Linked DNA regions of Neurospora crassa OR74A. The protein of the gene in region 3 interacts with the protein of the main gene of each other region in a pairwise test. Links are inferred from orthologs where the notes say so. Each region holds a gene or a part of one and is shown on either strand. Other genes may lie near its edges.

Region 1 (4,227 bases), on a different chromosome or scaffold from region 3:
TACCGCCGCTAGAGAACGGCGTCACGATTGATCAACAGGTTAGGCGACCGCGAACAAATCACTGGGGTTGTGCGTATGGAATACGACACGCCGTTGGTAGCGCGCGTGCACTTTACGAAGTGTGAAGAGCAGATCAACAGTGGTTGGCACATTCGTACGAGAACAATGCTAGTGACCAAGGGAATGGGGCAGATGTCATTGCGCGGCAGATATCACGCGACAGATGCGCGGGAGTCGGGCGTCATCTTTGGCCCACTGGAATGTTCAGCCGATATCAACACTCTGCTCGCCGTTAGCACCGACAAAAACCAGATCGACGGTGCTGTGGTAGCGCTCTATCTGGAATGAGAATTCACGGGAGAGGCTTTTTACAAACGTCACAAACACGCTTGATAGCCGGCAGTGATTGTTTGGCTCCTGCAGATGGGATTCCGAAACGAACGGCGTTGCCCTAGAACTCACGCGGCGAGCCTAAAGCCCCTGCCTGCATGCTGCATGGGTGTGGATTCGTGGCATGGTGAATCCGTCTCTCTGTTGACATTTTCTGCCCGTCACCGAGCTCAGCTGAGTGATGTCGCATGGTAGCCAGCTCTCAGCCTATCATTTACAGTCGGTCACGATGTTTCTGGACGACCTAGCAATGAGTGAATGGAGCACAGACGCAAGCCACATGGCTAGCTGCCTGACTGACTTCCGAGTGTTACAATGTTGTGAATGTTTGAGACTTTTTGACTATGAGTTTGAACAGTGTCGAGGTAAGATATATCAAGATGGAAGAAGAAAACAAGAATAAAAATAAAGATGTCCTGGCCATGACCCAGTACCCTAGAGCCATCATTCACTTTGAACAGGTTAATCACCCAAGCAGAGTCTACCTCTAGGTAGGTATGACTCCCCATCAATCACCACCATCAGCTACAAAGACTGTCAAAAAGTGCAGAAAAAGAAATCGAGCTGCTACAGTAGCCCGCCCTGTGTCTGTGTACCTCTAATTTGCTCCATGCTCCCGTCCCCACACAGCCGCTAGAGGTACAGTAGGTAAGCAGCGCCTGGAATGTCTTGGCCTAACGATTTGCAGTGAGATTGAGGACCGTGCCTCTTCTGACTGGACATTGCATTCATTAGCCCAGCAAATGCAATAATGCGATTGGCTCGTTCGCAGTGTTGCCGCGTGTTGCCCGGACATTGTACCTATGTCACTGCAAGGGAAGGATTCATTCATTGTGCAGCGAGCAGCCGCCAGGCAACGCACTCCAGGAGTCCAGAGCCTCCACAGCGGACATGGCTCCCCCCCATCTTCAGTGGATTCAGTGGGCTCCATTGTTGGTCCCTTCCTCACTTCTCTTGCGCGGTCTCGTCCACTCGTTTCCACAGCAGCAGCCACCTCATCCCCCCCCGGTTGCTGCCCGCCCCGGAGTCCCTCAGCCAGGCCCCGTCGTTGGCCTTCCATTCCGGATCTCCCACCACCACCCAGCCGTCGTCACCCACACCCACACACACACCATTTCCCTTTTCACGTCCCCGTCCGTCCGTCCTGCCCGTGCGATCCCCTCATTTCTGTTCGTTCCCTCCTTCAATTTTTCTTCCCTTTCACTTCTCCATTGGCCGGCGTTGATCATCGCCCCAGCCACGTCCAACAACAATTTGCTCAATCCATCAATCGCTCCCTTCGTTCCCTCAACCTCATCAACCTCGACGACGACGACGACGACGACGACGACGACAGCATACGATTGTCCGACCCTGAGCTGAGCTGAGCCCTTTATTAACGCGAACCGGAACAAGACGGGGGGATAGTACAATACGACGTTGGCAGGTACCGAGATATCACACCCGACTACCGTCATACACCGGACAAACAAAGAAAAAGGGAAACAAAAGAAGAAAGAAAACAGGAAAAAGGAATCCAGGACCATTTCCAGACTTCCAGTGGACTCTTCTACCGCCCTTCTTCCAACTACCGATTGATCTTGCGTGTTTACCGTATCTACCCATACCGTACCGCCGCCGCCATTCGTTCCAACGGACAACTACCGTACCGTCACATCTCCCGACCCGTGCGACCGACTCGTTGCTTATTTCCCCTGAAGATTCAAAGGCTCTGTCCTCGTCTTGAGTGTCCTTGGAGTACCCGACGGCCACTTCCCTTGGACTCAGCCTCCTCTTTGCGGATTGCCAACCAACAAACACCCGACGGAGCAGCCCGACAGCGACCACCCAATCTTTCAATAACATTGCAACTGTCCTACCTTCGACTCATTTCCATACATCGCCCAATTACTACCTACCCATATTTGCAACGACCGAGACGAGCCATACCGCGTTGCTGGACACCGAATTCCTCGCTCAACGTCTTGCAGCAAACGACAATTGCTACCCGACCCGAATTTCTTGCTTCGACTTCGACCACTTGTCGCCGTCGAACTTCCTCTCTTTTTTTTTTCGTGACATTGCATCTGTCATTGCAGAACAAACACATCGCATTACCAACCGCGGACTGGTCCCCGGAATACGACACACACACGGCCCCTCGCCGTCATCTTATACCCCAAGTGAAGGTGTGCGTCAACTAAAGTGTCCCACACACGTCGGTCCATCACTTATAACACGGACCTCGAATATCCCGAGAGGACGCTCTTCCTTGGCGACCTTCGCCCTTGATGCAATCGTACGGAGGATCGGTTAACTATCCCCCGTCCTTCAACAACCCCAAAATGGAACACGGCAGGAACTCGTACCGCCGAAAAGGCATAGACATGGGCAACATTATTGGTGACCCATTTGCTCTGGCCACTACTTCTATTGCTACTGTGAGTTTCCATACGCGCGCGCGCTGGCGTCCACCCTTTTCCCGTCCTGTCGCCTTCACGAACTGACAATCACCACAGCTGTCATGGATCATCATCCTGTTTGGATCCATCTTTGGCTTTAGGGACCAAAATGACGGATCGAATGGGGCTCCCGTCATTGTTTGGCCAACCTACAGCTGGTTCACCCTCGTCTTCAACTTCTTCCTCATTCTCGGCATTTTCATCGTCATCGCCTCGGACAGCGCTCAGACCTACCATGTCGCCATCGTTGGCTACCTGGCCGTCGGGCTGGTCGGCTCCACGTCGTCGATCAACAACCTGATTTACAGTGGCGTTGCGTCCATGGAGGCGACAGCGGCTGGGTATATCTTGTTGTCCATGGTGACGGTATGCGGTTCCCCGCTAACTTCCCCCAGCTGGCTGACCCCATTTGCTAACGTCCCGCCAGATCATCTGGATATTCTACTTTGGCTCCGCCCCATCGGCTGTTCCCCGTGCCTACATCGACTCCTTTGCGCTGACCAAGGAATCCACCCTCCCTGCGCATCACATGAGCCGCCAAACCATGAACCACAACGGTCTCTCCTCTCCCAATGCTTACGGCTCCTACAACATGCGCCCTGAAACCTCGGCCTCGGGCCTCCAGCCTCCGCAAATGTACACGGGTCAGCTCAACGGGCTCGAAAACCCCGCTCGCCAGTCGCAGATTCCCCAGGGTTTCTCGTCCAACAACATCCCCAAGCCGCAAGGAGAAGGGGAGATCGTTCCGCCGACGGAGTACCCGTACAGGGCCAAGGCGATATTCAGCTATGAGGCCAACCCGGACGATGCCAACGAGATTAGTTTCTCCAAGCATGAGGTGCTGGAGATTAGCGACGTGAGCGGGCGGTGGTGGCAGGCACGGAAGGAGAATGGAGAAACGGGTATTGCGCCGAGCAATTACTTGATTTTGCTATGAGCGGGCTTGAATGGGTCGGGGATGGAGTTGAGGTTTTTCTTCGTCTTTTTGAAAAGAGAGGATTTGGCGTGTGAACCGCCAGTACAAAACAAAATCATGAAGTGGTTTTTTTTCTTTTATCTATCTTTCTTTTGAGTCGGCGTTTTATACCCACATTAACGTTACACTTTCTTCTCGACCACCCACGGGACTCGTAATGCGACACACCAAAAACCGTGGCTCGTTTGGAAACGAAGGCGAAACCGGATGTTGGATGCGGACGGGGCAAGGTTTGGGTGGAAATGGAGTTTTTTTTCCCTTTTTTCTTGCAATGTCATTTTTCTATCTTCTCTTACCCTTTTTCTCAATGTCTTTCCTTTCTCGTGTTACACTAGTTCTTGTATCAACTTTACATGTCTTCTATTTTGCGTTCGGCAGCTACGGCAGAGGATAGGCCGCTACTGGAGAATGGCAATGGAA
Region 2 (4,197 bases), on a different chromosome or scaffold from region 3:
CGGGTTGTTGCGCAGGCGCTTGCGCCGGGCAAGCCAGAAGTAGACAGCCAGACTGATGCAGAAGACACCGATAAGGGCGGCGGAGCCGTAGACCCAGACCATGGTGGCGGCTGACTTGCCGAATGTGGGCAGGAAGGAGGGCAGCCAGGTGCTGTTTGCAGGAGTGGTGGTCTCCGAGGTTTGTTCGTCAGAGGTGGGCGAGGGGTTGGGGGCGTCGGTGGGAGTTGGTTTCGAGTTGACGGGGCGGTTGGGATGGTCGGACACGGTGCTGGGCTTGGTGTCGGTGGCGATGGGTTGAGGTGGTAGGGTGGTCGTGGTAGCGGGGAGGGTGGTCGTGGGGATGGCGGCGTGGTCGTTGTCGTCTTCCTCGGTCGGCATCGGGAGTACCTTGGCCTTGGAGGCGTCCTTGCTCTCGCCCCAAAGCTTTAGATGCCAATCGGTGAAGACGCCCTCGTGACTGTTAATTTGGGTGTCTTTAACGATGATTGTCCAGTTACCGACGCCGGTTTCACCCCTGGTTATGTACAGGTTAGCAAAGATTACCTCGGATAATTGCGGTAACGCGTGCGCTTACCAGTGAACGACACTCATGAATGTCCAGTCATCATAGCCAGCGCGGGCCTCATCGTTCTTCCGGCTGACCGAAAGATGGCTGACCAGATTGTTAGGGCTGATGAGATCAACACTAAGATCTCCTCGTCTAGTATGCATGATGTTCATGGTAACCGTAATATGTTCCAGGCGCTCGACGTTGGCCTCATCCAGCATTGCCTGCGTAACTTCATAGCTGACGGCAACTCCCGTGTCTCCCTGGGGAATTGCTTTATTGACATGGATCCAAGGAGAGTAGAACCAGGCCTGAGGCTTCACCTTCTTCCAGGTCTTGGCTGCCTGAACAATGGCGTAGCTGTCGAGTTTGCCGTAGCCATACATATGGCTGAATTGTTTGCCAATAGCAGTCGTCTGCCACTCGCCGCTGTCAAGGTTGATAGGAACAGCAGTGTTCACGGTAAGATACTGCATATCTCTCCATGAGAGATCTGGGCGAACCTGCAGAACAAGAGCAAAGATACCAGCTGCGAGCGGAGCGGCAGCTGAGGTACCACCGTGAGTATCAGAACAAGCATTCCCAACGTCAGTCGTGTGGATCGAATCACCACCGCCGCTGGAGTATGTCACGACCAGATTCGCGGAACACGATTCAGAGTAATAGGGATGGTCGCCGTTTCTGTCAACGGCTCCGACGGTGATGCTGTAGATGCTGTTGGTGTAGCCATCGAAATTGCAATTATCTCCGTTTCCTGCACCATTGCCGCTGGCAAAGACATAGATTGAGCCCAGCCCACCACGGCCCTTCTGGACGGCATTGAGCATAGCCCTCTTGATGAGAATTCCGGGAGCATCCATACTCTGCCCGTCATCAGGGGGTCCCCAGGAGCACGAATAAATCTGATTGTGCTGAAAGTCGTAGTTCATAGCAACGGCTTCATCAGCGTCAGATATCAGCTTTGACAAGATACGCAGGCCGGCAATCCTGGAGTCATATGCTACTCCCACACCGCAGGCTTTGTTCTTCCCGGCCGAAACTTCACCGGCACAGCGAGTTCCGTGTTTATCGTCGCTTAATCGGGGCTTTGGATCAGGACCCTTGTCGTTAAAGTCCCATGACCCTTGGGCATAGTAGTTGTCTTTCAAGTCATCGGTTTCCATATCCAAGCCATCGTCGACAATGGCGACGGTGGCGTTTTTTCCAGTGACGCCTTCGAGCCAAAGCCCGGTAACATTCACGTCGTGCCCAGTCTGGACAGTGTTGAAAAGATGCCACTGCTCCTTGAATATGGGATCTCTGATGCCCAAATTCCCGATAACTTCGTTTTGCTTCTTGACTGCCCAGTCAACCTCTTGATCGGAAAAGAGACCCCTTCTAGAGGGTCCTACTGGTCGGGGGACCATGCGCTTCTCCCAAGGTTTCCGCAAAATTTGCTTCTCTGAAAAGAGAACACTATCCAGAACATGGGGCTCGTCGCCTAATGATCGTTTTCGGCGCCGGCGCTCCGTCAATTCTCTCTTGACGATATCGTGCTCGGCTTTCCTCCCAACAAAGAGATGGTGATCCTGGAGTTCACCAAGGGGCCCCTCATGAGACAATCCTAGGCTCCTGGCAACTTCAGTAGGTGACGTTCGGGCATCGAGATGAAGAACATAGTAATCGTTCGAATCGAAGTCGCGGGGGAGGACATTGGACGCTATAGCCAGAGCGGCCAAGCCCAGCGGCGTTGCGATAGCCGAGAGCTTCATAGCTGAGTTCGGGTAAATGATCTGGAGCGGCCCAAGGTCGGTCTACTTCGCAGGGGATGCGCAAGGTTGTGTAAGTGTTTTCAGTTGGTTGCGGTGTCGAGCACCAAAGACGAATTTGTACGACCGGCTCGTGTAGGTATATAGAGACAAGCAGAACAGTGTCTTATTCGATCTCAAATATGGCAGAATAGTAGCGCCAGGGATAGCAACGGTGTTGGCCAATAATCAGAATGATGTTACGAAGACGGCATCGGCTCCCGGCGACTGAGAAGAGACTGGAAGGTCGAATCGAAAGCTCGTCCCTGTCGAACGGACATGGAGGCTTCGCGCGGAACTGGTCAGACAGCTATTTATTGCATAAGCAACGGAATCAAGGAGGGAGAGGGCACAGCATACAGGACGAAGCCCAGTCGCGACCGTAGCAGCGGTCGAGAATCAGATAGGCCCACTGAGCAATCCTGTATAGGCTGGGAATGAAAAAGGCGGCACAGTTTCCCCGTCTCACCACAAAAAAGATTAGGAAGATGGGTTGATTTGAAGATGGAGAATTCACTTGTTGGAAGTTCAGTTCGGCAATCTGGCGATGTGGCCTAGTTGAAAACCATCCCGCCACAGCGCAGGGGTAATGCACACAGACGGGCTGCGCAAGTGGCCCGGGCAACAGGCTGGAACCGGTTGGTACCTAGGTAGGTAGGCAGGTACAGGGCAGCTGCCAAGCGAGAAACAACACCTCCAGGGGCAGAGAGAAGGACGGAACCTACCTACCTCAAGAGGTATGGACCCTGAATGAGGCGGCAGTTCTGGTGGGGCCGAGACTCTAGGGGCCCCTTGTAAGGGGGGCCCGGGCCCCCATGGGGCAGGAGCAGTGTCAGCATTCCACATGTATTCTGCGCCGTTACAAGATGTTGATTTACACCCCTCGACACCATAGAACCGTCTTTATACCAATCATACCTTGTCTTGTTGGAACGATCACCGAGATTTACCTTTGCTCAGTTTTCCATGTTCAAGGCGCTGCTCAGGGATGGGGTTTCGGTAATGTTCCGTACCTAGTGCACTGTCAAACGTCCCATCTTCCGGGTTTCGTCTTGTCTTCAACCGACATTCCAGCCGTATTCGCCATGCGAGACAAGACGAAACTTTGAAGATCATCTATGCTCAAAAATTCCCACTATCATCGATGGTATCTTGGGGAAAATTTAGTATACTGTGCATATCTCAGCCTTTGGTTCCGACACAGATGGTAACGACGACAGCATTTCCATTGACGCCTCCCATATCATGCATGGCGGTAGAGGTGGACGGTCTTCACGTTGCCTGCGGAAAACAACGTGGCTTCGAAACATGTTTGTGAAACGAGGCGTTTGCGTATGGGTTGGGCCTTTCCGCTTTCTCACCTCAATAAGGATGAATGGCTTCTATGATGGTGTTGCTCCCTTGGTACTCGTTCGGCATTGTCAAAGAATCGAAGAGGCTTTACGCCAACGCCAACGGGCAGGTCACCGAACCCGGCCAAACAACCACAGACAACTCAAAGTCGTGTAAAGGGAGACTGAAGGCAAGATGGTGGGCTGTATCGATGTGAACCACTATACCTACCTACCTACCTACTTCTTTGTTTTGCCTCTAGTAACCTCAAGCAATCTTCTACTAAGCAACGCGGCGCTTGTACCAGTATCATGGAGCCGTAAAGGTAGGTACCTCTGGTTACCCAGTGGTACGGCTCTTAAGCGTCATGTATAAGACAAGTACCCCGGCCACCACTCTCCTGGGACAACCTGATTACATACCACAACACTCCGGGCACTGTACAGGTCAGTGCTGACTCTGTAGGGCCACGTTCCGTCGTTAGATGCTCAACGATGTCTTTGTGCGGGCAGTCGAGCAGCATAGCAAGTT
Region 3 (4,054 bases):
GGAACCGATCTCTTGCGATTCCTTGGCGATAGCGAGGTACTCGAGCTCGGACCAGGGGCCCAGCTCCTCATCGAGGTGCTCGACGATGTAGGTCTTCTTGGTGGCGGCCATTACTACGGTAGCTGGAGTAGGAATTCAAAAACCGGCTCAAAAGTTGTGCTGGGACCAAGATATTCAAGGATATCAAAAAGGTCAAAGTGAGGGTTAAGTTTGTGTGTAAGTGTTTGGACGATCTCACAAGGCCAAGACTAACATTTTCTTGGTGGAGCTTTCTGATGGCTTGGTGGGGTTCTCCGTGCCAAGATGGACGGCATGCCGTAACGGTGATTCAGTTCGGCGATCCGGGCCCGGGTTGCCTTGCCCGTTCTCGGAAGCCGGCCCCGCAATGTCTTATATCATCATTCCGGCAGAGATCCCGGCGGTAGGGGCTGTCCGAACTGAGGGATCATGTACATGTCTGATTGTTATGTCTAATTGTTGTCTCATACACCTGGGGAGAGTGTGGATGAACTTGTAATCGTATATACGAGGAGCTCACGCTTGACTGCCGAGATGAGTCGTGCTCGCGGACAATCGCTCGGTTGTTCAGGTCTGGGCCGATTTTATGAGCAGCTGTTCAGTTCTTGCCGATATCCGGATTTAGAAACTTTCGTCTGATGTTTTCCTCTAGGGCTGCTCTTTGTCAACCATCAGGGAGTAAAGTTGTCGAAGAGGTTTACACTCTGTCAAGTCATGTTAGTGGCTGAATAAGGCTCCGTTTATTCACGTCCAGATGCGGTGCCTGAAGATCTGGAAACAACCTTGGAAGCTCTCATAGCGAGTAAGTTGGTGTGTAATTAGAACTCTGTCCCCGATTCCATAACTATACAATAAGTTCTTGAGGCATTAGAATATAGCAGACAAGGACATTAAGAGTATTATCTTTCGATATCGACATTGCTTAGGTTGGATAATCGAAGGAAGGAGAATGGAACTGGCTTGCGCGTCCATCCACGAGGCGCATGGACTGAGTGACTGCATGGAAGAGAAGACCAGGCCCCCCAGCTATGTGTTAAGCTAGCATACCGGGATCGCCCAATACCACTAACAGGGTCCCTTACTTGTAATGAGATTGCCCCCTGTGAGGTCTAGCTGAAATGGAACGCCACTATCCGTGCCGCAGTGGCATTCATCCCACGTTGTACACTATTGTCCGTCCGCCCCAAGGACAGATTCCCTCTTTACCGTTTCATCCATGGATGCTGTCTCGGAGCAACATCTCGACCTTTTCAGAGTTCCTACAACTTTTGCCGTTGTCGTCGGCCTTCTTCTATCCTCCCCCATGAATGTGGTTGGTGGTGATAGGTAGCCAAACTTACGACAATTGTCTCCTCCTCCATCCCACCCACCACAACTGAACCCAGCGACTTGAGTCCAGTTGGTGATCATGGCCGCCACCACCACTACCACCAATGCTGGCCGGTCTATGGCTAGCTGGAAACGACTGTCGACTCTAATCGCGGCATTCACGCTGTCATGGACATCCAGCTTCGTCGCCGCTGCTGGCTCCGCCGACTACTTTGTCCATGATCTGCCAGGCGCACCAGATGGTCCTCTGGTGAAGATGCATGCCGGGTAAGTTCACTGTTGCTGCGCGAATCCAATATGTTGGGGAACACCAAGGCTGACATGTTCTCACAACTAGACATATCGAGGTCACCCCTGATAACAACGGCAACCTGTTCTTCTGGCACTTCCAGAACAAACATATCGCCAACAAACAACGAACCGTCATCTGGCTAAATGGTGGTCCTGGTTGCAGTTCCGAGGATGGCGCATTGATGGAGATTGGTCCCTACAGACTGAAGGACGAAAACACCTTGGTATACAACGATGGCGCATGGAACGAGTTCGCCAACGTCTTGTTCGTCGACAACCCCGTCGGCACTGGCTTCAGTTATGTCGACACCAACGCCTATATCCACGAGTTGACCGAGATGGCCGCCAACTTTGTTACCTTTTTGGAGAGGTGGTTCGCTCTGTTCCCAGAGTACGAGCATGACGATGTAGGTGCCACACTCTGAACCTCTTCGATTCGTTCTGTCTAACCGATTTCTCAGCTTTACATTGCCGGAGAGTCTTACGCCGGTCAGCACATTCCCTACATCGCCCAAGCTATTCTCGAACGTAACAAGAACGCTGGTCCCGTCAATCGCAAATGGAACCTCTCGGGCCTCCTCATCGGCAACGGCTGGGTTTCCCCCAAAGAGCAATACGACGCCTACCTCCAGTTTGCCTACGAGAAGGACATCGTCAAGAAGGGTACCGACCTCGCCAACAAGCTCGAAATCCAACAGCGTATCTGCCAAAAGGAAATCGCCGTCAAGCCCGACAAGATCGACTACCCCGAATGCGAAGCTATTTTGCAAGACATGCTCCAACTGACTGCTGGCGGCGTCGGCGCCAGCGGCAAGAACCAATGCTACAACATGTACGACGTCCGCCTGAAGGACGACTACCCCTCATGCGGCATGGCCTGGCCCCCCGACCTCAAGAGCGTAACCCCCTACCTCCGCAAGAAGGAAGTCATCAAGGCCCTCAACATCAACGATAACAAGTCTACCGGCTGGACTGAATGCAACGGCCAGGTAGGCATGAACTTTAACCCCAAGACCAAGCCGTCCATCACCTTGCTTCCCGACATCCTCTCCGCCGGCGTTCCCATCCTGCTCTTCTCCGGCGCCGAAGACCTCATCTGCAACCACCTGGGCACCGAAGCCTTGATCTCCAACATGGAATGGAACGGCGGCAAGGGCTTCGAACTCACCCCGGGAACCTGGGCGCCGCGGCGCGACTGGACCTTCGAAGGCGAACCGGCCGGCTTCTGGCAACAAGCGCGCAACCTCACCTACGTGCTCTTTTACAACTCCAGCCACATGGTCCCCTTCGATTACCCCCGCCGCACGCGCGACATGCTGGATCGGTTCATGGGCGTGGATATCAGTAGCATTGGCGGACAGCCTACGGACTCGAGGCTCGACGGGGAGAAGTTACCCGAAACGACGGTCGGCGGCGCAGCAGGGAATAGCACGAGCAACCAAGCGGCCGAGAAGGCCAAGTTGGAGATGGCCAAGTGGGAAGCCTACCGCAAGTCAGGCGAGCTGGTTCTGGTGATTGTCATTGTTGCTGCGGGCGTGTGGGGATGGTTTGTCTGGAAAGAAAGGAGAAAGACTGCTGGGCAGGGGTATATGGGTGTTGCTACGGGCGAGAGACATAGCATTTCTAACAACCCGGGACCTCGTGGGAACCTTAGTGGTGGTGGAGATAGGACGAGAGGTCAAGGATTGGCAGGTTTTAGGAACAAGAGAAGCGGGAGGAGGGATGTTGAAGCGCAGGATTTTGACGAGAGCGAGTTGGATGATTTGCACTTGAGCAAGCCGGAGGACCCGCATGCGGATAGTAGGTATAGCATTGGTGGTGCTAGTGATGATGAAGAGGAGCAAAAACCGGGGAAGGGTAGTTCTAGTAGGCAGCCTGGGGGGAGATCGTGATTAGTTAAGTGGTAGCTCTTGGGTGAAATGTTGACTTGGTTATTCTTATAGACTATCGGCGTTTCTGATATCCTTGGCAGGCAAGCTGGTACGGGTTTTGGCTTGGGTATTTTATGATACAGAAAACATCACACATTTGTGCACAGGACCAACGGTACTATATACAGAGGCATCTAACCTCAACGCGCCATGCAATACTTACACATTACATAAAATAACAAGTCACGTATCGTGATGTTAAGGCTTTAGGCAATTTGAGTACCATCTTATCTTGAGATTGATCTGCACAATGAACCATTCCAAATTGACGTAAAAACATCAACACCCCTTTTCCTATGTTCGCAAATCCTATGCCCCATTAATCAGAAGGGACCATACACGGTGAAGAACACTTTTTTGTGCATCAGATTTGACCCGAAAAGCATCCATGTGAAGACTATCGTAACATAACTAACGTAAGAAAAAAAAAAAAAAAAGAAAAAAAAAACCCCAGGACGAACATCTATCCTGAAGAATCTAGAAAG

Evidence for each region.
Region 1: the proteins of NCU04316 (region 3) and NCU08067 interact in a protein complementation assay, tested with the Saccharomyces cerevisiae proteins (2 studies listed by BioGRID). The link is inferred for Neurospora crassa OR74A from reciprocal best matches to the Saccharomyces cerevisiae genes KEX1 and SHO1.
Region 2: the proteins of NCU04316 (region 3) and NCU03219 interact in binary tests that used the Saccharomyces cerevisiae proteins (3 or more experiments, as listed by UniProt). The link is inferred for Neurospora crassa OR74A from reciprocal best matches to the Saccharomyces cerevisiae genes KEX1 and KEX2.

What each region holds. Positions count from the first base shown.
Region 1 is NC_026501.1:156,619-160,845, forward strand, and holds the start of NCU08067 (osmosensor protein), read left to right. Parts: upstream 1-1,418; 5' UTR 1,419-2,660; coding exon 2,661-2,810; intron 2,811-2,888; coding exon 2,889-3,197; intron 3,198-3,258; coding exon 3,259-3,768; 3' UTR 3,769-4,227. UniProt on the Saccharomyces cerevisiae protein: Plasma membrane osmosensor that activates the high osmolarity glycerol (HOG) MAPK signaling pathway in response to high osmolarity.
Region 2 is NC_026501.1:4,941,412-4,945,608, forward strand, and holds the start of NCU03219 (Kex2), read right to left. Parts: upstream 2,873-4,197; 5' UTR 2,695-2,872; exon of another isoform or gene 2,645-2,694; 5' UTR 2,299-2,644; coding exon 575-2,298; intron 515-574; coding exon 1-514.
Region 3 is NC_026505.1:5,592,432-5,596,485, reverse strand, and holds NCU04316 (pheromone processing carboxypeptidase Kex1), read left to right. Parts: upstream 1-1,189; 5' UTR 1,190-1,426; coding exon 1,427-1,614; intron 1,615-1,684; coding exon 1,685-2,045; intron 2,046-2,099; coding exon 2,100-3,530; 3' UTR 3,531-3,749; downstream 3,750-4,054. Other genes in the region: NCU04317 (DUF431 domain-containing protein), read right to left, coding at 1-111.